Drosophila melanogaster: one gene and its partners. The protein of the gene in region 1 interacts with the protein of each later gene in a pairwise test. Each region holds a gene or a part of one and is shown in the gene's direction. Other genes may lie near its edges. The genes, in order: rtv, CG1637, CG15012 and Vti1a.

What was found.
Region 2: the proteins of rtv (region 1) and CG1637 interact in a two-hybrid assay, tested with the Drosophila melanogaster proteins (one large-scale study listed by BioGRID).
Region 3: the proteins of rtv (region 1) and CG15012 interact in a two-hybrid assay, tested with the Drosophila melanogaster proteins (one large-scale study listed by BioGRID).
Region 4: the proteins of rtv (region 1) and Vti1a interact in a two-hybrid assay, tested with the Drosophila melanogaster proteins (one large-scale study listed by BioGRID).

The regions. Positions count from the first base shown.
Region 1 is NC_004354.4:11,151,253-11,155,499, reverse strand, and holds rtv (retroactive), read left to right. Parts: upstream 1-1,509; 5' UTR 1,510-1,607; intron 1,608-1,672; 5' UTR 1,673-1,822; coding exon 1,823-1,883; intron 1,884-1,925; exon of another isoform or gene 1,926-2,012; intron 2,013-2,139; coding exon 2,140-2,534; 3' UTR 2,535-3,016; downstream 3,017-4,247. Other genes in the region: Dlic (dynein light intermediate chain), read right to left, coding at 272-363; Lint-1 (l(3)mbt interacting protein 1), read right to left, coding at 3,120-3,262, 3,373-4,247. UniProt on the Drosophila melanogaster protein: Required for chitin fiber assembly and organization involved in cuticle formation and tracheal development.
Region 2 is NC_004354.4:10,872,964-10,879,879, reverse strand, and holds CG1637 (uncharacterized protein), read left to right. Parts: upstream 1-2,081; 5' UTR 2,082-2,326; coding exon 2,327-2,465; intron 2,466-3,880; coding exon 3,881-4,077; intron 4,078-4,292; coding exon 4,293-4,639; intron 4,640-4,709; coding exon 4,710-5,406; 3' UTR 5,407-5,980; downstream 5,981-6,916. Other genes in the region: Ork1 (open rectifier K[+] channel 1), read left to right, coding at 1-1,364.
Region 3 is NT_037436.4:4,290,202-4,294,447, reverse strand, and holds CG15012 (uncharacterized protein), read left to right. Parts: upstream 1-2,201; 5' UTR 2,202-2,294; coding exon 2,295-2,378; intron 2,379-2,438; coding exon 2,439-2,573; intron 2,574-2,631; coding exon 2,632-2,761; intron 2,762-2,824; coding exon 2,825-2,934; 3' UTR 2,935-3,240; downstream 3,241-4,246. Other genes in the region: Fdx2 (ferredoxin 2), read right to left, coding at 1,278-1,617, 1,706-1,824; Hexo1 (hexosaminidase 1), read right to left, coding at 3,269-3,335, 3,398-4,246.
Region 4 is NT_037436.4:690,527-694,941, reverse strand, and holds Vti1a (vesicle transport through interaction with t-SNAREs 1a), read left to right. Parts: upstream 1-2,022; 5' UTR 2,023-2,163; coding exon 2,164-2,257; intron 2,258-2,321; coding exon 2,322-2,920; 3' UTR 2,921-3,456; downstream 3,457-4,415. Other genes in the region: CG13894 (uncharacterized protein), read left to right, coding at 73-1,659; RabX6, read right to left, coding at 3,532-3,993, 4,143-4,322.

The DNA.
Region 1 (4,247 bases):
ATTTGTCGATATCATATTGTAATGTACAGAGTTACATGCTCTGAAAGTTAAGTATTATTACAATAATGGTTCAAATTTCATATTTTTCCACCTCGAACTACCTACCTACTTATTTGTTCTATAGTTTCTGTTTTTTTGGTAACTGATCTTATATCTTGAGTTATCTTGGTGCTTGCATTTTGGGGGATTACGCATATGTCAATTGGGGTTGTGTTCCCTTTTTGGGAGGTTTACTTGCTGAAGTAGTCGCTACTACTGCAATTGCACTCACCATAGGTTCTCCTTTTCCGCGGCCGCATCCTTTTTCTTCATGGTAAAGGATGATGTCAGCGCATTCGTTTGCGTCCCACTGTTCATCGCCATGTTGTTGTTGGTGCTGCAGCTGCGGTGCTCCTATTGGAACGCTCTCCACTCCTGGCTGGGTCCAATTGGGAAACGGGATGTGCTGGCGCTGCAACAGAGAGTGCTAAAGAGAGAGAGGGAGAGTGGAAGAGAGGGAAGATGAGAAACAGTTGGCAAACAAAAACAAACACATGCGCGACAGAGCGAGACGGCTGCCAGGTGTCGGCTGCATATGATTTAGCAGTCTATTTAAATAATTTTACTGCAAGGCTGCGCACTTGTATTATTTTTGTTTAATTCTCTATGCATTTGTCACCACGCTCTCTCTCCCACCCACTCTCACTTCCAATTCTGTTGCTTTAGTTACGACGCACAGCTGCTGACAAATTCGCAAAATTTCCTCTTCTACTCAATCTATCTCTCTCGCTCACTCTATTTTCTTTCTTTCCTCCTTTCTGATTGCCCACTTTTTTTATTCCGTTTCCTACGTACGCAGTTTCTCACGCTCTTCGCTCTCCTCTCCAGTGAAAACTCGCGCCCTGGATTTTCACGCACGTCCTCTCCGCTGGACAGCCTTTCGATCGTTTCAATTAGACAAGGCAAACTTAAATAATATAATGTATATTTATGTGGAGAAGAGCCGCGTTCGTGTGCGTTTCCACTGGAGTTTTTTCAGCGCCGTTGCGTCGTCGAATCTGACTGCCTCTCCTCTTCACTGCTCTTCTTCTTCACTTCTGCTTTGCTTTGCTTTTCCTTTCGCACCAATTATTCGTGTAAAAATACTGCAAAAAATACCGATACCAAATGGTGACCCGGGTATGGTCACACTTGGCACTAGCAGGTGCGGGAAATACCGTTCCCACAACAATCACTTTTGTAACTATTCTGTATTTCTTTTTGTACTTTTCTCCCGGCGTTTATTTATTTATATGGCTGGTAAAATGATAGCAAGAGGGAACGCTTTAGTGGAGGTACTGACTATCAGATACCCGTTAAATTACTTCGAATAACGAGTAACTAATAATTAAAAAGTAAATATTCCAATAACGATTTGACGCTGCTCATAGATGTCGCTTTAATCTCATTGTGAACTTTGATCGCATTTCCAGCAGATGGCGCTGTGGCAAAGCTACTATTTCTGGTATCTACTAAAATTCTAGCATTTACTTATGCAAGCATGCAATAGTATCGATACTATCGATAAATTAATCTAGCTAGCATTATTTTGGAATATATTTTTGAAATAATTAATCGTTGATAAAATTGTAATTTTTGTATATATGTATATACATATATTTATATTAAATAACGTATTTATTTATTTTTGCAGAGCTTTTTACCTTTTGGATTCGCTGGAATTCCAGCGCCTGGTAACACTAATTCACGATTAAACTTCCTTGACTTAACATTTACATATATTTACTATTATTCATTATTATCATTATTGACTAGTTAGTAGGCGAAATAAGAAGACGGGACCATGCAATTTACGAGCCTTTTACTGGCTGTGATTTTTCTCATAAGTCTGGTTTCAATCGATGGTGAGTTCGTGTTCTCGTTGAAGTCTTTTGTTTAAGTTGCATATGTGTTGTGTGTGTGTGAGAGAGATATAATTCGATTTTCACATGGGGAAAACGGCGAAATCAAATTAAAAACTAACTTTTTCCGTTGTATTGTTATTTGCTTAATTGTTCCATTTGCATATTATTTAAAATTTTCATTTTTAATTCACTTTTAGATTTAAACGCTCAGTAAAACCATGTTTTAAATTTTAAATATTTGAACTTTCAATTGTAGGCCTTCTGCGCCGCTGCTATCAGTGCCGATCCCGTGGCGAACTGGGCAGCTGCAAGGACCCCTTCACCTTCAATGCAACGGACGTGGAGCAGGAACCGGGAGTGGCGGCCATCCCGTGCGCCAGCGGCTGGTGCGGCAAGGTGATCGAGGGCGGCGGCACCTATGCCATCGACGACTACGACCTGGCCATCCAGCGGATGTGCGTGCAGCGCGGTCCGGACGACAACATGGATCGCTGTGCGGACACCATCTACAACTATAAGAAGGTGTACATGTGCTTCTGCCAGGGCGACCTGTGCAACGGCGCGAGGAGCTGGTCCAGTGCACCCCAGATGATCCTCATCACCATGCTGCCGCTGCTCGGCTCCTGGCTGCTCCAGCGGATGCGAAACTAGACTGTTTGCTTTCTGTGCTCTTAGCCGGCAATGTGTATATACATCTTCCAATACTCAGCAACACTCAATGTAATATCAACAGTTCGATAAATACAAACAATTTTTTGTTATTACTTAAAATCGAATGTTCTTGCTCTGCTTAAGATTTTATTGCCGTTTACTCGTGCATTTTTTCGTATCATTTTTCCGATCGCAAATAAGGTACTTACATTCAATATGTAACCATTGATTATGGCTATATATGGCATAGATCCCGACTTCGGGTCAATCAGCTATCAGTGGAACAGACTCGATTGTTTGCGAAAAAGAAACAATATGAATATTATTCATATACCTAATTAAATCACTCCTGCTGCGTAACACCATTCTCTTTGTTTGCAAATAGAATATCCATTCGTTTTAATTAGTATATTTATAAAATAAGAATATAATAATCATTTATATAATCATATAATCATTTAAGTAATAATAAATTTTAATATAAAAACACGAACTCAGCATACCAACTAGGGTTGATTCAAATATATACAATCCTTTATGCAAGAATGAGAAACATTTAACATCAATGGCTCACTTGGCAACGCACTACTTCTCCAACTTATCTTTTTCGCGCAAGCATGGGGGGCAGCGAGAGTTCTGCAGCTGCATCAGCTGGCGATTTTTGGTGAACTCGTGGCAGTCCATGTGGTATAATCCGCTGCACAAGTGGCAGTACATCGCTTCGGTTTCTGGGAAAAAAAAAACAAGCAAAACAATAAAATATTAATAAAATCATTAAATGGGTAATACGAATTTAAGAAAACCAACTCAACAAGTTTGTGGTTGGTGGATGACTCACCCACACGACGTTTGCATTCACGGCACTCGCGGCATTTGCGGCACTTGGAGGCACCGCCGTCTTTATGCTGACAGGCTGATGAAGACGCAGTTCCCGATGCGCCAGATCCTCCTCCTGCGCTGCTCTTCTCCGAAATCTCGTCCGGCGACTTGCTCTTGCGTGTGTACGTCCTCTTCGAGTTGGCCTGCAAACGTTTTTCCGTCGGCGAGAGCAGGAATTCGGACTTCTCCTTGGTCTTCTTCTGACCACGAACGCCCATGACTAACGCGTCCACGGCATTCAACTGCTGGCCATAGTGAAAATCCACTCCGCTGGCATTCTGAACGGTGCGACGCTTGCGCTTCGAGTGGCGCTGACTGAGCTTCTTGAGCACCTCCGGCGAGTAGAGCTCAAAGAGGCCGAGGAACGTCTCCTGGCCGTACTCCTCCGGCTGGGTGCGGCTCTCGCGCGGCTCATCGCGCCACTGGGCGGCGGATGCGACGCGTCTTTGCTGCTCCTGCTGCAGCTCGGCACTGGAATCATCGGAGCTGCCGGATGACGATACCGCTGGCTGCGACTGTCCACTGGATGTGGGCGTTGGCGAGGATTTCCTGCACGTGTTTTTGCTCTTCGCGGTATTATTCTTCGCCATCCCCTGACTAGACATTTGTGGGATGGTCTTCTTGGCTGCCTGATTGGCGGCAGCATTCGTTGGCTCCAGCGATGGCGGTGTCCCCTTGCCATCGCTGGTTCTGTTCTTGTTGCGATCGTTCTGCAAACTGGTGATCTCCAGGTCCTCCTCGTCGTCGAACAAACGTGGCTGCTGCTTCGTCTTTCTGGCCCTTCTCAATGCCTGCTGCAAGTTCTTGCGACTCTGGGCCACAACGTGAAAGTTT
Region 2 (6,916 bases), 280 kb from region 1:
TCCAGAAGAAGCGCCCCTCGCAGGATCTGGAGCGCAAGTTGTCCGTGGTCTCGGTACCCGAGGGTGTCATCTCGCAGCAAGCCAGATCCCCGCTGGACTACTACAGCAACACGGTCACGGCGGCCTCCAGTCAATCCTATTTGCGCAACGGACGCGGTCCGCCACCGCCCTTCGAATCGAATGGCAGCTTGGCCAGCGGCGGCGGCGGGCTAACGAACATGGGCTTCCAGATGGAGGATGGAGCAACCCCGCCATCGGCATTGGGCGGTGGAGCCTATCAACGCAAGGCGGCTGCTGGCAAGCGCCGACGCGAGAGCATCTACACCCAGAATCAAGCCCCATCCGCTCGCCGGGGCAGCATGTATCCGCCGACCGCGCACGCCTTGGCCCAGATGCAGATGCGACGCGGCAGCTTGGCAACCAGTGGCTCTGGATCGGCGGCCATGGCGGCAGTGGCCGCGCGTCGTGGCAGCCTCTTCCCAGCTACAGCATCGGCATCATCGCTGACCTCTGCTCCGCGCCGTAGCAGCATATTCTCGGTTACCTCCGAAAAGGATATGAATGTGCTGGAGCAGACGACCATTGCGGATCTGATTCGTGCGCTCGAGGTAGTGCACACCCATGCCGTGCTTGATGAACAGCAACAGGCGGCAGCGGCTGGAGGAGCTGCCGGTGGAGGCGGAATATCGAGGGGTAGCCGCAAACAGCGCAAGATGGGCAATGCTGGACTGGAGCCACCGCAGCTGCCGCCGATCCTGTCGCTCTTCGCTGGCGATCAAACGAGGACACTGCAGGCGGCGGCTGCCAATCGGCTGTACGCGCGTCGCTCCACTATTGTTGGCATATCGCCCACTGGTGGAGCAGCCACCGCACCGGCAGCCAGATCCCTGCTGGAACCGCCACCCAGTTACACTGAGAGAGCCGCAAATCAAAGCCAAATAACAGCCGGTCCATCGAATGCGCCAACTGTTCAGAGCAAATTCCGTCGTCGCTTTAGCGTGCGACCGACTGCTCTGCAAATTCCACCGGGACAGGCGCCGCCACCAGGTGCCAGTTTGATGGAGCAGTCCTCACAGACGGCGCTCCAGCGACGCCTCTCGCTGCGACCCTCGCCACTGGCCCGCGAACTGTCGCCCACGTCGCCGCCCGGAGGAAGTGGAAGCGCCTTGCCAGCGGGGGCCATCGACGAGTCTGGCGGAACGTCCGCTCAACGGCTGCTGCCCTTGCCCGCCGGAACGAGACCCAGCACCAGCAGCACCCACTCGCCGCTCTCGAGGATCGTGCAGATCTCGCAAGCACAGCGCAAGAGCAGCATGCCCAGTGCAGCGGCCACGGGATCGAGTGGTGCCCCCGCCGAGAAGTAGTTAGGTTTCCTTGTCCGAAAGATGTATTACCTGTATCGTATACATATGTATTTCCACGTCCAGCGGAATTGCTTTGCCAATTTCACAGCATGTATGCCACAAAGTCGATAAGGCTGCCAAAAGTCCTTAGTTGTTATGCTAATGTTATCCTTAAACCTATTTACATACGTATATCCAGTTATCCTAGTTGTATGTATTGTTAAAACTATCTCTCTATCTCTCTCTCTCTATTGTTATCCTGTATTTATACCCATATACCCTAATCTATATATCTATATATATATTCTTCTATGTTTATTGCTAAGAAGGCGCTTATATGAACAAAACGATCCGCATGTTTTCAAGCATTCAATTGGGACCGACAAAGGATCTCGAATTGTGTGTAGTTTCATTTAGCTCTTAGAGGGACTTCATTCCCCAAAACATTTCATATGCTGTTATATAATAAAGATATTCTGCAATAATGCGTACATTTCTAATTGATTGATTTAATTGAAATTGAGTAATTGGTCGAAATGTATTAACAATAGAATAACCAATTGAGCTGTTTTGAATTTGAAACGCTATTTCATTTTTATTCAAACAGCTTTAGATAAATTTGTCATTTTCACGTAATTTATTTACGTATCAAGTTCAAATCGCGCGCTCACTTATCGCTTTCTATCGATAGTTGTCGCCAGCGTGCAATCGTTACCACTGGCATTTGCTGTTCGGCGGCCAAGGTCACACTGCACCCGGATTGTTTTTGTTGTGGCTGCGCTTATAAATTGCTGGATATTTCCATATTAGTGCTCATTTTTTGTTGTTCCCGCAAGCGAATTTGTCGATTCCCCCGTTTAACTCCAACGACTCCCCGAGCCAAGTGTCCCCACTTTGACAACGACGCAATTGTGATTTGGCAATGTTTTTGCTGACTGCGTTACTGTGCAACAACAAACACAAGTAAATACAAAACGGTAAAAATGCAGAGACTGCAATTCGCTCTGCTAGCGTCGCTGCTCCTGCTGGTGCTGCTTCTTCCGGGGATTAGGAGCACTCCCATCGACCAGGACGTCGACATTGTTCACTATCAGCCGGAGCAAGTGCATCTGTCCTTTGGAGGTGAGTGCGATCTTCTTTACTTTTCGCATTATGTAAATTGCTCACCTGCAGCGTTGCATTAGTGTTAGAATACACTGGGAGAAAAATGATAGCTTGGCATATAAGTTTCTAATATTACAAATCTATCACGTAGGAAAGTTTATTTTATTTACATTACCTTACATTGTACTTACATTTTCCTTTATGTGTATTATCACATATGGTTTTGAAAAACATTGATCGTATAGTACGCAATTCCAGAGGCACTTATCGAGTGATATCAATACTTGCTTTCCAATCCCGCCCAGAATCATTTGCTACATAAAATGATTATCAGTGTCGTCGCCCCTATAAATGGGATGAACAAATGCAAATGCACCCACAATAACGGGCGCAATGCATAGTTATATTTAATTGTAGTTAATATCTATACGATCGTTAGTTACAGCCTACAAATTACAACAAGGTAATACCTAAGGTTTCCCCAAATATTGTATAAATATAGCTTTATATTAATAATCGAAAGTCCCATAAAACTCCAAAACTGATAACATCTAATTCCGAATTTTTGGAAGCAGCAATAAATTCAAGCTTATTTAAGGCCTGATGAGGTGGCAGGTCAAACACAAAAACATTAACAAACAATTTAAGTATGCCACTGTGAATGTGTTCGTGCACAATGCTAAAATTAATCGCTGTGTAGTGCGATTGGCGAAAAACTGAACAAGATTAAAAACGTCAGCCGCTCGGCCAGTCTTTTTTGTAATCAGGTGATTCCCCCCCAAAAAAAATAGCATTATTCCGCCATATTGGGGTTCCACTGTTGTCTACGACAACGCGGGCATTGCAAACTTCAAAACCCTGAAATGCAACCCAAAGATTGATAGACTTTGGCTCCCTGTGGGGCCTCATATTTGCCGATACGGTCGATCGTCATCCCACCGGCCATTTGGCTTTGTGTTCTAGTTTCTAGTTTCTGTTGGGTTGGCGATAAGGATGAAGCAAACAATGGAGCGTCGCTGCAAAGCAAAAATATCAGGGTTTTATTGGACAATAACATTTGGTCATGAATGACTGGACGACCCTGCACCCGTTACAGATTCAAATTCAATTTGGCACAAGCGATGCTAATGGGATTGAAGTTATTCATTAAAGTAACCAAGTAGCACTTGTTTCAATCAACTTTAATTATGCGAATCATTATCGTGGCAAATCTGGAATTCGAGTTCATTGTTTATATTATACTATAAATCTATACATTTTCATGTTTAGTAATCAGTATTAATGCCAAATCTAAATGATATTAGATGCCGGATGGGGGCTAATTGTTTGTTTTCCTTTCATTTGAAACGTACCAACATTGGACCAACGAAATTGCTCAAGTTTGTTTTTCTTTTACTCTTCCCCGTTTCTCGATATCCGCTTGTCCTCTGAAGCAGAACGCACCGATAGCGAGATAGTCGTCACTTGGTCCACGCGCAGCCTGCCGCCGGATCAGGAAGTGGGTGCGGTCAGCGTGGTGGAGTACGGTCAACTGGTAGACGGACAGGTCAGGCTCACCCAACAGGCCCGGGGAAAGGCTACTAAATTCGTGGACGGCGGTCACAAGCAGGCCACGCAGTTCATCCACAGGGTATGCATAGAGTATGCAACCGATCAAACGATTCAAGTAGATTGATGTGAGAATGTAAGAGGAATGCAACCTTGAATCCGGCTCTTAGAACCAAATTAAGAACCAATGAGCCAGGACTGCTTGCACTCCATCTCTTAACAATCAATCGATCCACCTTGACATCGCAGTTGATGTACCAGAAAGAGAGAGAAAAACTTATTGTTTACTTTGCTTAGGTGACGCTTAGGGACCTGGAGCCAAATGCCACATACTCTTACCATTGCGGTAGCGATTTTGGCTGGTCGGCCATCTTCCAGTTTCGCACAGTGCCCTCGGCATCCGTTGACTGGTCGCCATCGCTGGCTATCTACGGGGATATGGGCAATGAGAATGCCCAATCCCTGGCCCGATTGCAGCAGGAGACGCAGCGCGGCATGTACGATGCCATCATCCATGTGGGTGACTTCGCCTACGACATGAACACGAAGAATGCTCGCGTGGGGGATGAGTTTATGCGGCAGATCGAAACGGTGGCTGCCTACCTGCCATACATGGTGGTTCCCGGCAATCACGAGGAGAAGTTGTGAGTAGCTAGTAGAGCAGAGAGTAGAGTGTTTTTTGGTAGAAGCAGGATCTAATTGTTGGTGTTGCAGCAACTTCTCGAACTATCGTGCCCGCTTCAGTATGCCGGGAGGTACGGAGAACATGTTCTACAGCTTCGATCTGGGACCCGTGCACTTCGTGGGCATTAGCACGGAGGTCTACTACTTTCTCAACTATGGTTTAAAGCCGCTGGTATTCCAGTTCGAATGGTTGCGTGAGGATCTGGCCAAGGCCAATCTGCCAGAGAATCGGAACAAGCGTCCGTGGATCATCTTGTACGGTCATCGACCCATGTACTGCAGCAACGAGAACGACAATGACTGCACCCACTCAGAGACTCTCACGCGGGTGGGCTGGCCATTTGTACACATGTTCGGATTGGAGCCGCTGCTTTACGAGTTCGGCGTGGACGTGGCCATTTGGGCGCACGAGCACTCCTACGAGAGACTCTGGCCCATTTACGATTACAAGGTGCGCAATGGAACGCTGAAGGATTCGCCGTACAATGATCCTAGTGCCCCTGTGCACATCGTCACAGGATCCGCCGGCTGCAAGGAGGGAAGAGAACCATTCAAGGGCAAAATACCCGAATGGAGCGCTTTTCACAGCCAGGACTATGGTTACACACGGCTCAAGGCTCACAATCGAACACATATCCATTTCGAGCAGGTGTCCGACGACAAGAACGGCGCCATCATCGATGACTTTTGGTTGGTGAAATCCAAGCATGGAAGCTACCGAAACTAAATAGTCATTCCCAATCTGAACCATAACCTGAGCCGAATCAATTCAAGCTAAAGGAGTCTCTCGAGGCATTACACGCATCAATAGCAACAGGCAGTATTAGTAGCGCACATTCGCCTCGACCTGATTCGATCACAAACTATAGCAATAAGCGTGGCACATTCCTTATCCAAATATCTCAACCCAGCCCGAAACAAACTACAGTTTTATACTTAGCCAATTTAACAAACGCAGCATTTACACATATGCAAGCGCTTTTAAGTGTGCATTTAACATAAGCTGATAAGAACGTAAATGAACTTAGTTTCTTATCTCTGTCGCATGTTACTTGATGTTCAAAAACTGGTACTCGGTAACTGCTGTCTTAAGCAAATTGTTTTTAATGTGTATGGGATGTACTTGATATACTTATTAGGATCAATGTTAAAGGACTAATGGATATGCACCCGATCGGTTTTTATTATCAATAAGTACATGAAATCCGATTACCGGGTTTATTATAGTCACGGCAATCCGATTGTACACTGATTGTTGTTTAAATGCCTAGTATCTTTACAATAAATGTCTTGAACTTTTCATTGTGCTTATTGTTTTGGGATAAAACAATTCAATATCATAAAACTGGGAACAACTCAATTGAGAATTCAACGATCAATCAAATGGTTTGTGAGTGAATCCATTAATAGTTGACTTCATCTTGTAGACAAGTGTTGTAAATATGTGACATGCTCAGTGTTAAGCTCCTAGTTAATCAGTGTGCTTGTGCAGAAACCGTGCTCGACATTGTCGTCACCTGGAACACGCGCGACAACACCAACGAATCAATCTGTGAGTTCGGCATCGATGGACTGCATCAGCGAGTGAAGGCGACGCAAATGCCCACGAAATTCGTGGATGGTGGAGCCAAAAAGGCCACCCAGTATATACATCGTGTGAGTAACGACGCAGCAAGAGTCGCAAACGAAGGCATCTAATCCATGAACCCATCCGAATGCAGGTGACGCTGTCCCACCTGAAACCGAATAGCACCTATCTCTACCACTGTGGCAGTGAGTTGGGCTGGTCCGCCACCTATTGGTTTCGGACGCGATTCGATCACGCCGACTGGTCGCCCTCGTTGGCGATCTACGGCGATATGGGCGTGGTGAATGCGGCATCCCTTCCAGCGCTGCAGCGTGAAACGCAGAGCGGCCAGTACGACGCCATCATCCATGTGGGAGACTTCGCCTACGACATGGACTGGGAAAACGGAGAGGTCGGCGACGAGTTTATGCGCCAGGTGGAGACCATAGCCGCCTACTTACCATATATGGTGTGCGTGGGCAACCACGAGGAGAAGTAGTAAGTGCTACACCACAAGCCAATTGCGATGATGATAATGATGATGACTGATATAAGGACTTTTCCCTTTCAACCCATAGCAACTTTTCGCACTACATCAATCGGTTCAGCATGCCGGGTGGATCGGATAACATGTTCTATAGCTTCGATCTTGGACCGGTGCACTTCATCG
Region 3 (4,246 bases), on another chromosome or scaffold:
AATCAGTTTTATGTGCACTTCAGAAACACTCATTCCAAACCCATTCCCCATAGGCACCCCCCATCCCATAACTATTTATTCTTTGGTTATTTATTGAGATCCCACAATCCGCCACTTTCAAATGGTTTCCTACTTTACCACTACGCTCTATCCTTCATATGTTTCCCTAGTTTTAGGCAAAGCGAAATTGAATTGTCAGACTTGTTAAGTTTCAGTTATACCTACGCGGGATTTGAGGCCATCTGAACGAACAGATTAGCCTCGAATGTTACAATATGCAAGTTAATAATATCGAGAAAATAAACACAAACGAAGTAATGAAGCGGCAAACATGGAAAGGCAGAAAATCGTTTACAATAAGTTAATATAGCAAATGTATATATTAAATTATTTATTTATTACTTTATTTGATAGCTGCGAAATAATAAAAAGTTTACTTTTATTAAGCGACAAGTGTTTTAATGCGTTCTAATAGTACCTCTGATTATCGGAGCTTGGGAACGACTGATAAGGAAACGCAAACAAAGCTAATGCAAACTTTATCAGTGTGATGAAATGTTTGTGTGGGGGGCTTTGATAACAGCCCTTGTGTTGGCCGTGACTGGAAGTTTTGGTATAAACAAAACAAGTTTGGCAAAACGAATGAATAGAATAAAGAATAATATGGTTCGCATTGTCATACAAGCGAGGCAAATAGGAATATAAAATACGATCATCTTGAATTTGCTAACTAATGATCATAAACCTGTGTTCAAAAGTATACTACACACTTTTATTAGAACTATGATGCCGAGGAAAATCTTTGCGTGTGCCTGTTTATTTGCCGAGCACAACTTCGAGATCATGAATACACGCAGAAAAACACTTTTTAGCTGAGATATTTAAAAAACAAGAATGACCGATTTAAAATCGGCTAGTTTTGCCAATAGAATTAAAAAGGCAAATGAATTATTGGTTAAAAATGATATCTACGCTGGATGCTTTCCTCCACAGTTTCAATAAAACCAAGAGAAGTACGAAAATACATGTAAATTTATTGCAACACACTTATTTACATATTGATCTAATCCCTTTGAGCTTAAACACTTTAAAAACAACAGCGGACGCTAATCCGCAACTGGAATCGGATTAATGCGCGCATCCATTATAGCCGCCTGAGGTTTGTGTCCCTGGGACAATACATACGATTTCGTTCAAAAATATTGACTACATCTAGGTTGAACTAAAGCGAATTAGCACTCAAATTTGTAACAATTGATAACAGTGGTGGTGTCTATCTACGCGGCACGTGCGTCATTGATGGTGGAGGGCACATGTACCTCCAGGCCCTCCATATCCTTGGACAGGGTGATCTGGCAGCCCAGCCGCGAGGTGTCCGTCAGTTCGTACGCCAAATCCAGCATGTCCAGCTCCTCATCACCGGGTTTGTCGGGCAGTTTCTCGAAATCGCTGGTCTTGAAGATCAGGTGGCAGGTGGAGCAGGTCAGCGTGCCCTCACAGGCCCCGAAACCATCCAGATCCACATTGTTGTTGACCACCACGTCCAGCAGGGAGTCACCCACTTTTCCGGACGTCTTAATCTTGTCCCCATTGGCACGCACGAAGGTTATGTTAACACTGCAATAGCGAGATTGGTCAATGTTTACGCTGCTCTGGCGGTGTGGAGCTACCATTGTAGTGCTCGTGGGGTGGAGAAGATACTCACACATCTTTCGTTTTCAGGGCCAATCCCGTCGAGAAAGTACGCGTTGCGATCGGCGATCGCAAATTGAGGCTGCGTAGCGCCAATCTGGAGGCAGCTCTGCATGAGTTTATGACTAGCATTCTGGTTAGGATTCCTTTGCAATCTCTTACTATAACTGACAACACGCACCCACTCGTGTCGCTGCGATCGGTTGTTAAATAATAAGGAAATCAATTAAATTTTGTTAAACGTGAAGTTGTGTGTGACCGTATTGGACTTTCTGAAAAAGACGTCGTGCCTTTAACGTACTAAAAAACAACAACAAACTGCATAAGCAGTAATTTTAAAGTTAAACATTTAAATGTTTGCACAAATTATTGCACAAAATATTTAATTAACAGCAACTTTCTTTTTATAACGGAGTTAATTTGTGTTACACAAAAAGTATATGTTACTGCTGCAGTTCAGGTGTGAACACACTAAATACTGAAACAGGGTTGCTACAGCGAGTGAAGAAACCCTGTATTCACCTGCAGACAGACAACCCTGTGCGTCAAAACAAGAAGATTTAAGAGTGGAATAAATTTAATTACGTTTTAAAACCTAAACAATGGGCGTGTTGGACAATATTGCGTTGCATTTCACGGGGGATGCGTCCAGGAACAGGAACACCTCCATAATAGCCGGACTTCTGGTAGGCTAACACCCGCAAACAAAGAGCCGCCCGCCTGACAGTGCAACTTTTTCTCCTTAGTTTTTCGCAGGATGGTGGGTTCTAATCGATGCCATGTCCATCGACGGCAAGCACCAGATTACCACAGGACACGTCTTCATCGGCATCTTCGGGACCATCAGCTTCTGCATGGTGAACGCAGTGAAGGGAGAACATGTAACACACACTTATCATTGGGCTTAACAAGTGACTCACTTCTTTTGTTTGTGCGCAGATTTCTGATGAGAACTCATCGGAGTCCGGCGCCAGGATAGCGAAGATCTGGCTGCTTGTGGGCTTCCTAATGGGTTTTGCCTCCATCATTGCCGCCATCTGGGTGATGATCGACGACTTCATCAACAATGGTGAGAAATAAACAGATATTTAAGGATTCCTTAGCTGAATTGCACCCACTTATCGTTTTTCAGAAAAGAAGGATGGCTGGTTTGGCGTGGCTCTGCTGATGCAAAACGTCTTCATCCTGTTCGCCAGTTTGGTCTACAAGTTTGGACGCAACGAGGAAGAGTGGAATGAGTAAAGCTTCCATTCAAATTATTGCACAAGGGAACGCAGCTTTTAGTATCTAGACTCATTACGTACATAATCAGGAGTCCAAGGAGTTTATGCTTGAGGCCGAGGACACCATCACTCGCAAATCCTCACCCCACACATTGAAGCGTAAAATGTCCAACTCTGCTACTGTTCATATTCGAAAAAATCGTCGAGTCTGTACGGATTTCCCTCACTATTTCCGACATTCTGCCGCTTTGAATCGGAAAAGGGCGCAGAGCAGGGCCAATAATCTCATTTATATTTAACAAAATAAACGACAAGTCACTTGCGTAAGGCCACCTTTGAGCTGTACTTTATTTTCAGGCAGAGAGCGTTGTGAGAAGCAACAGGACGATCAACCCAAGCCGCCCGCTGCCCCGACTACATCTACAAGGATAGCGACCGTTAAGAGAAATGGTTTAATAGCTGGTCAAACTTGTGCATCGTACGCGTCAATGGGACACTCGTGCTCGTTTTGCAGGCACCACTGCGGCTGCATGGCCTCTGCGCCCAGACCATTGTCCACCAGTCGCTGGCGGTGGAGCAGCAGACGTGACTCCGCCTGGCGCCAACCTTCGGCAGGATTTGACCAAAGTCGTTCGGCCAGGGCACTGGCCCTGGGCCAGAAGCGGTTGTCCAGTGTGTGCTCGTCGATCTGCTCTGACCAAATGGCTCCCTCCGCGCCCAATACATGATGCTCGTAGTCGCCGGCAATGGATTTCAAACTATTGTCGTACACCTTCTGCCAGCCAATGTAGGGGGAGCACCAGTTGTTTCCATCGGTCACCCAGCCAGCTCCGCCGCAATCCAAGTACAGGGCATCGTAGTTGGACACAATGATCTTGTAGCCCCGCTCCAGAATCTTCTTTACCTTCGGATCTACACCAGTGGTCCAGATCTGAATGATGTAACGCTCTGGGTTCAGATACTCGTCAATGAAGGGCTCCTCAGTGAGTCCACTAGTCCACAGAATGATGGGCGTGTGCGTACCATTGGCCACCTTGTCCACGCGACCAAGAGCCTCCGTCTGGAAGTGTCCCCACAAGCGCATAAAGTCGGCGGTCTCCAGGCCCCAACCCTGTTTCTTCATCCACTGCTGGATGGGCTGGCTGCTGTTCCAGCAGCTGGTTGACACTTCATCGCCGCCCATGTGGAAGATATCCGGGTTGAACTGATCGAACATGGTGCCGTAAATGTCCTCCAGCACATCGTACATTTCGTTCACAGTGGGATCGAGTTGGCCACACGGTGGCTCAACGCAGAACGACTTCCATGGCTGGGCATTGAAGCAGGCGGTC
Region 4 (4,415 bases), on another chromosome or scaffold:
GTGAGCAACGCCAGCACTCCAGCATTTAAGATTCGGGGCCAACAGCAATTTCATCCTCATCCGCAGGTCGAGATGCCGACCATCCGGCGGTGCTGCATCATCGGATGCTTGTCCAATTCGCGTCAGCACCCGAGTATGCAGTTCTTTGCGTTTCCCCGGCCGGAGAACCCCTTCCACAAGCTGTGGAAGGAGGCGTGCCACGCCTCCCTAAGACGAATTGTGCCCTTCAAAAAGCCAGTGGTATGTGCCCTGCACTTTGACCCCAGTGTCTTGGGTGGCAGGCGACTGCAGTCGAATGCGCTGCCCACCCTGCGTCTGGAAGTTCCCTCCAACCTGGAGGCCGTTGAGCAGCAGGCCATGGTGGAGGAGATCGAGAGGAGCCGAAAGTGCGCCTACATCAATGCAGTGGTATACGAATGGCTAGTAAGGGCCAATATCAATCCCCAGCTGCGAGGTAGCATTACCCACGGAATGATCAAGGACAAGGCGGAGAATGCCAGACAAGTCATAGGGAGCACATCCTTTATAGCAGACAATCGCTGGTTAAACCGTTTCCGAGAGACTCATCTTCAAGGCTTTGCCCAAAAACTAGCCAGCAACCAGTTGAAGCCACTAGGATCCTCCCTGTGGATCCCGGACATCGTACAGGACCTAGCCCATCTCTTTCCGCCCGCGAGCGCTGAAAGAGTGGCCAAACTGGAGGAGATGCCCGAGCAGTACATGACCTACATGCAACAGTACGGAGAATACGAAGAAGATGATGACAGTATGGATGTAAAGGAGCAGAGCTATCAAGAGCAACAGCAGCAGCAACAGCAGCACTTTGCCCTCCAGCAGCAACATATGCAACAGCAGCAGCATCAAATGGGCCACCCATGGCCACCGTTTCCAGGACATCCCGGACATCCTACTCCACACCCCGGGTTCGCCAGCTTCAACGACTTTTATTTCGAGCGGCATCAACAGCAAATGCAACAGCAACTCCAGCAGCAGCAGCAGATGCAACAGTTTCCACCCACTATGCCACCTCAAAGGGAACCCTTTCAGCCCCAATTGCCGCCAAATGTTCCACCGCAGCGGGCCAGTCCCTTCCAGCCCGTTCAGTTGGCCAAGAGACCCAAAATGGAGTCACCCGATGATGACGAAGTGCAAGAGATTAACTCAGCGGTGAACTCACCACCATATCCGCTAGCAGAATCAACCTTAACCAGCAAGCACAGTCGAAGTTCCAGTCCCAACGAGCAGAACAACAATAATAGCGGGGGAAGAGACAGTGCCAGCAGCAAGGAGAACGCCCCCAAGGGAGGCGGAACAAGTGGCAAATCCACGCCTGCCCTTTCTTCCAAGGGAAAGGACTCACCTGCACCAGCTCGAGCTGCGTCCACCAAACCCGCCTCTGCTCCCGCCTCGCCAAAAAAGATCCCCAATGGATCCAGCTCCTCCGGCAGCCAAACCAATGGACACACATCCCCAGACCCCGAGGATAAGAAGGCTTTATGCATGCTGAAGGAGTTGGAAAGCTACCACCAGGCCTTGGAGTACCTAAAACCGCTGGAGGACTTCGTGCTCTTCAAGGAGAACTTTCGGGCTATTGGCTTGCTGTCCCAATTGGAACTGGTGCTCCGAAAAGGGGACAAGGCCACACTGGTCGAGGGTTAAGAGTTTTCTAATCGCGGACCAGGACAGCACAAAACATAAATGTGATGAACAGTGTACATATGTATCATGTAGTATTATTAAATCGTACTACCGCCAAAACAGTTGCTTAGGTTAACAAAGAATCTCCACTCGCATAAAGCTGAACCTAATTAATTAATTTATTAATTACTCTAAGTACAATAAAATGGAATTTATAAAATAATAGATATGTTTGTGTTTTATTTACGTATTTAAAACGGAAGTTGGTTTTATCTGAGTTCTTACGAGAATATTGTAGTCCTTGAAGTTGGCAGTGTTTTTTACATGAGTATGGCAACGCTGACTCGAAATCAGAGTGACCACGACTTAAAAGTATTTATAGATTGCTGTATTACTGTTCACCTCATGACTCGGCCACACTTGGACAATGTTTACTTCTTTTCTTCGATAAATCTGTAATTTTCGCGAACTAAAACAGAACAAATACCATAAACAACTGAATAAGGTAGAATAAAAACCGCACAAATGTCGCTTCTGGAGCAATACGAACAGCAATACGCCACGTTAATAGCAGAAATAACGGCCCATATTGGACGGCTGCAGCAGCAAAACAACAACAGTGAGTGGGATGATTGTCCATGGATTGTACATTATGGTGATTACCATTTGTCCATTTACTCCAGGCGAGCGCCATGATTTGTGCAGCAAGATCGACTCCAGTTTGCCCGAGGCTCAGGAATTGCTGGAGCAGATGGGTCTGGAGGTGAGGGAGCTAAATCCTGGACTGCGGAGCAGCTTCAACGGAAAGCTGCAGGTGGCCCAGGCAGAACTGAAACGGCTGCAGGCGGAGTACAGGTTGACCAAGGACAAACAGCGCTCCCAAGCCAACACATTCACCACTCTGGACTTGGGTGACAGCTATGAGGATGTGTCCATAAGTACAGATCAACGCCAACGCCTCTTGGACAACTCGGAAAGGATTGAACGGACGGGCAACAGGTTAACCGAAGGGTACAGAGTGGCCTTGGAGACGGAGCAACTGGGCGCCCAGGTCCTAAATGATCTGCACCACCAAAGGGAAACTCTACAGGGAGCCAGGGCTCGACTTCGAGAAACCAATGCCGAGCTGGGAAGAGCTTCTCGCACTCTGAATACCATGATGTTAAGAGCCCTGCGGGAGAAGGTGGTCTTGTATGGAGTGGGTGTCTGCTTTGTGGTGGCCGTGGGCGTCAGTCTCTATCTGACCTTCGCACCCAGTTCAAGCAGCACCGCCTCGTCGTAGTAATTTTAGCTAGCAAACCAATAGCCAATGATCTTAGCCCAAATTCAAATGTTATAGAAGCCTGTCCATTCCAATTTCGTGAGTTGATTATTTATTGTTTAGTATATTTTATTTTTACGAGATATTCTGTGGAAGAAAGCTGCAGATTACGCACTAATCTATATAAGATAGGATGGAGTATTACGTGCAATAAGAGTCGAAGCTTAGAGTAGTTATCTGCGGTCAATCGATGTCTATATATTTTGTTGTCCTTTTACCTTTAAGATTAAATTGACCTTCTTGTTAATCGATGGAATTCCTATTACTTTTTAATTCTTACCGCAGATTTCTAACCTATCACTCGCGTATCCGCCATCCTAGCTTACGTGTACAAAGTTTAAGTGGTTAATGTTTGGCGCCTGGTTAATAGAAACTAATCCTACTCTATGACTCGTGTTCGCGTTCGGGACGTATTTTTCGTAAAAATTCGAATTGAACATGTACGTATCTAAAAATCATAACATAGCCGAAAGCTATCAATAAATAAAGGAAACAGTAAAAATGCATCTCTGCGTGAGCATTGAGCCTGGCGGGAATAAGGGTTCCTAGCCGAACTCAATGTTCCCCAACTGCTAGCAGCCGCAGGAGGAGGCGTCCTCCTCGTTGGTCGCCGCGCCGCTGCTCGCAGTGTCCACCTGGAAGCTCTTGTGCTCCAGTGCCTGCAGTTCCATTTTGGAGCGATTGGCGTGGACCAGTTGCCTAGAGATGTCACGGAACATCTCCTCCACACCGGCGCCGCTGCGACAGGAGGTCTTGTACGTGGCACTGATCAGTGAGTGGCACTGCTCGCAGAAGGCCTCCACTTCCTCATCGCTGACCTCCGGCTCCCTGCCATCCAGATCGCTCTTATTGCCACAGATGAAGATCTTGGCATTCTCTGCATAGGTCACAATGTCCAGCAAGTGCTGCGACAGCGAGTGGAACGAAGCGGCGTTGTCCAAAGCAAAGACCAGGATGGCTCCCTCGGCGAACTTGTAGTACGAGGATGTGACCGAGGCCACACGCTCCATGCCACCGGTGTCCCAGAGTTGGAGCTGTCAAAGAAGACGGTATATACATAAGTGTCTCACAACGCAATAAGTTGTAAGTCTGAAGAACTGTGGCTTTCGTCTAGAAATCGAACTAAAGAGCTTAAGGATTCATATCTCAGCCATCACGCCCTTTTAGAGGTTCCCGAGCCCACCTTGATCTGCTTTTCATTCACACTGTATTCCCTATCGATGTGGTCCAGTCCCAACGTGGATTTCCTGTCCGTATCCGTGATGAAGGTGTTGGTGGCGAAGCGCCGGAACAGGGAGCTCTTGCCCACTCCGTAGTCGCCGCACAGGATCACCTTTTGTTTGGGTATGCGCATCGTGGCCATGGCTGTGATCGCTCGATTAATCCCAAGTTAATCCAATTAATATATTATTTTGCACCTGCAGACACAAAGGCGACAACAACAGTGCGACAACAG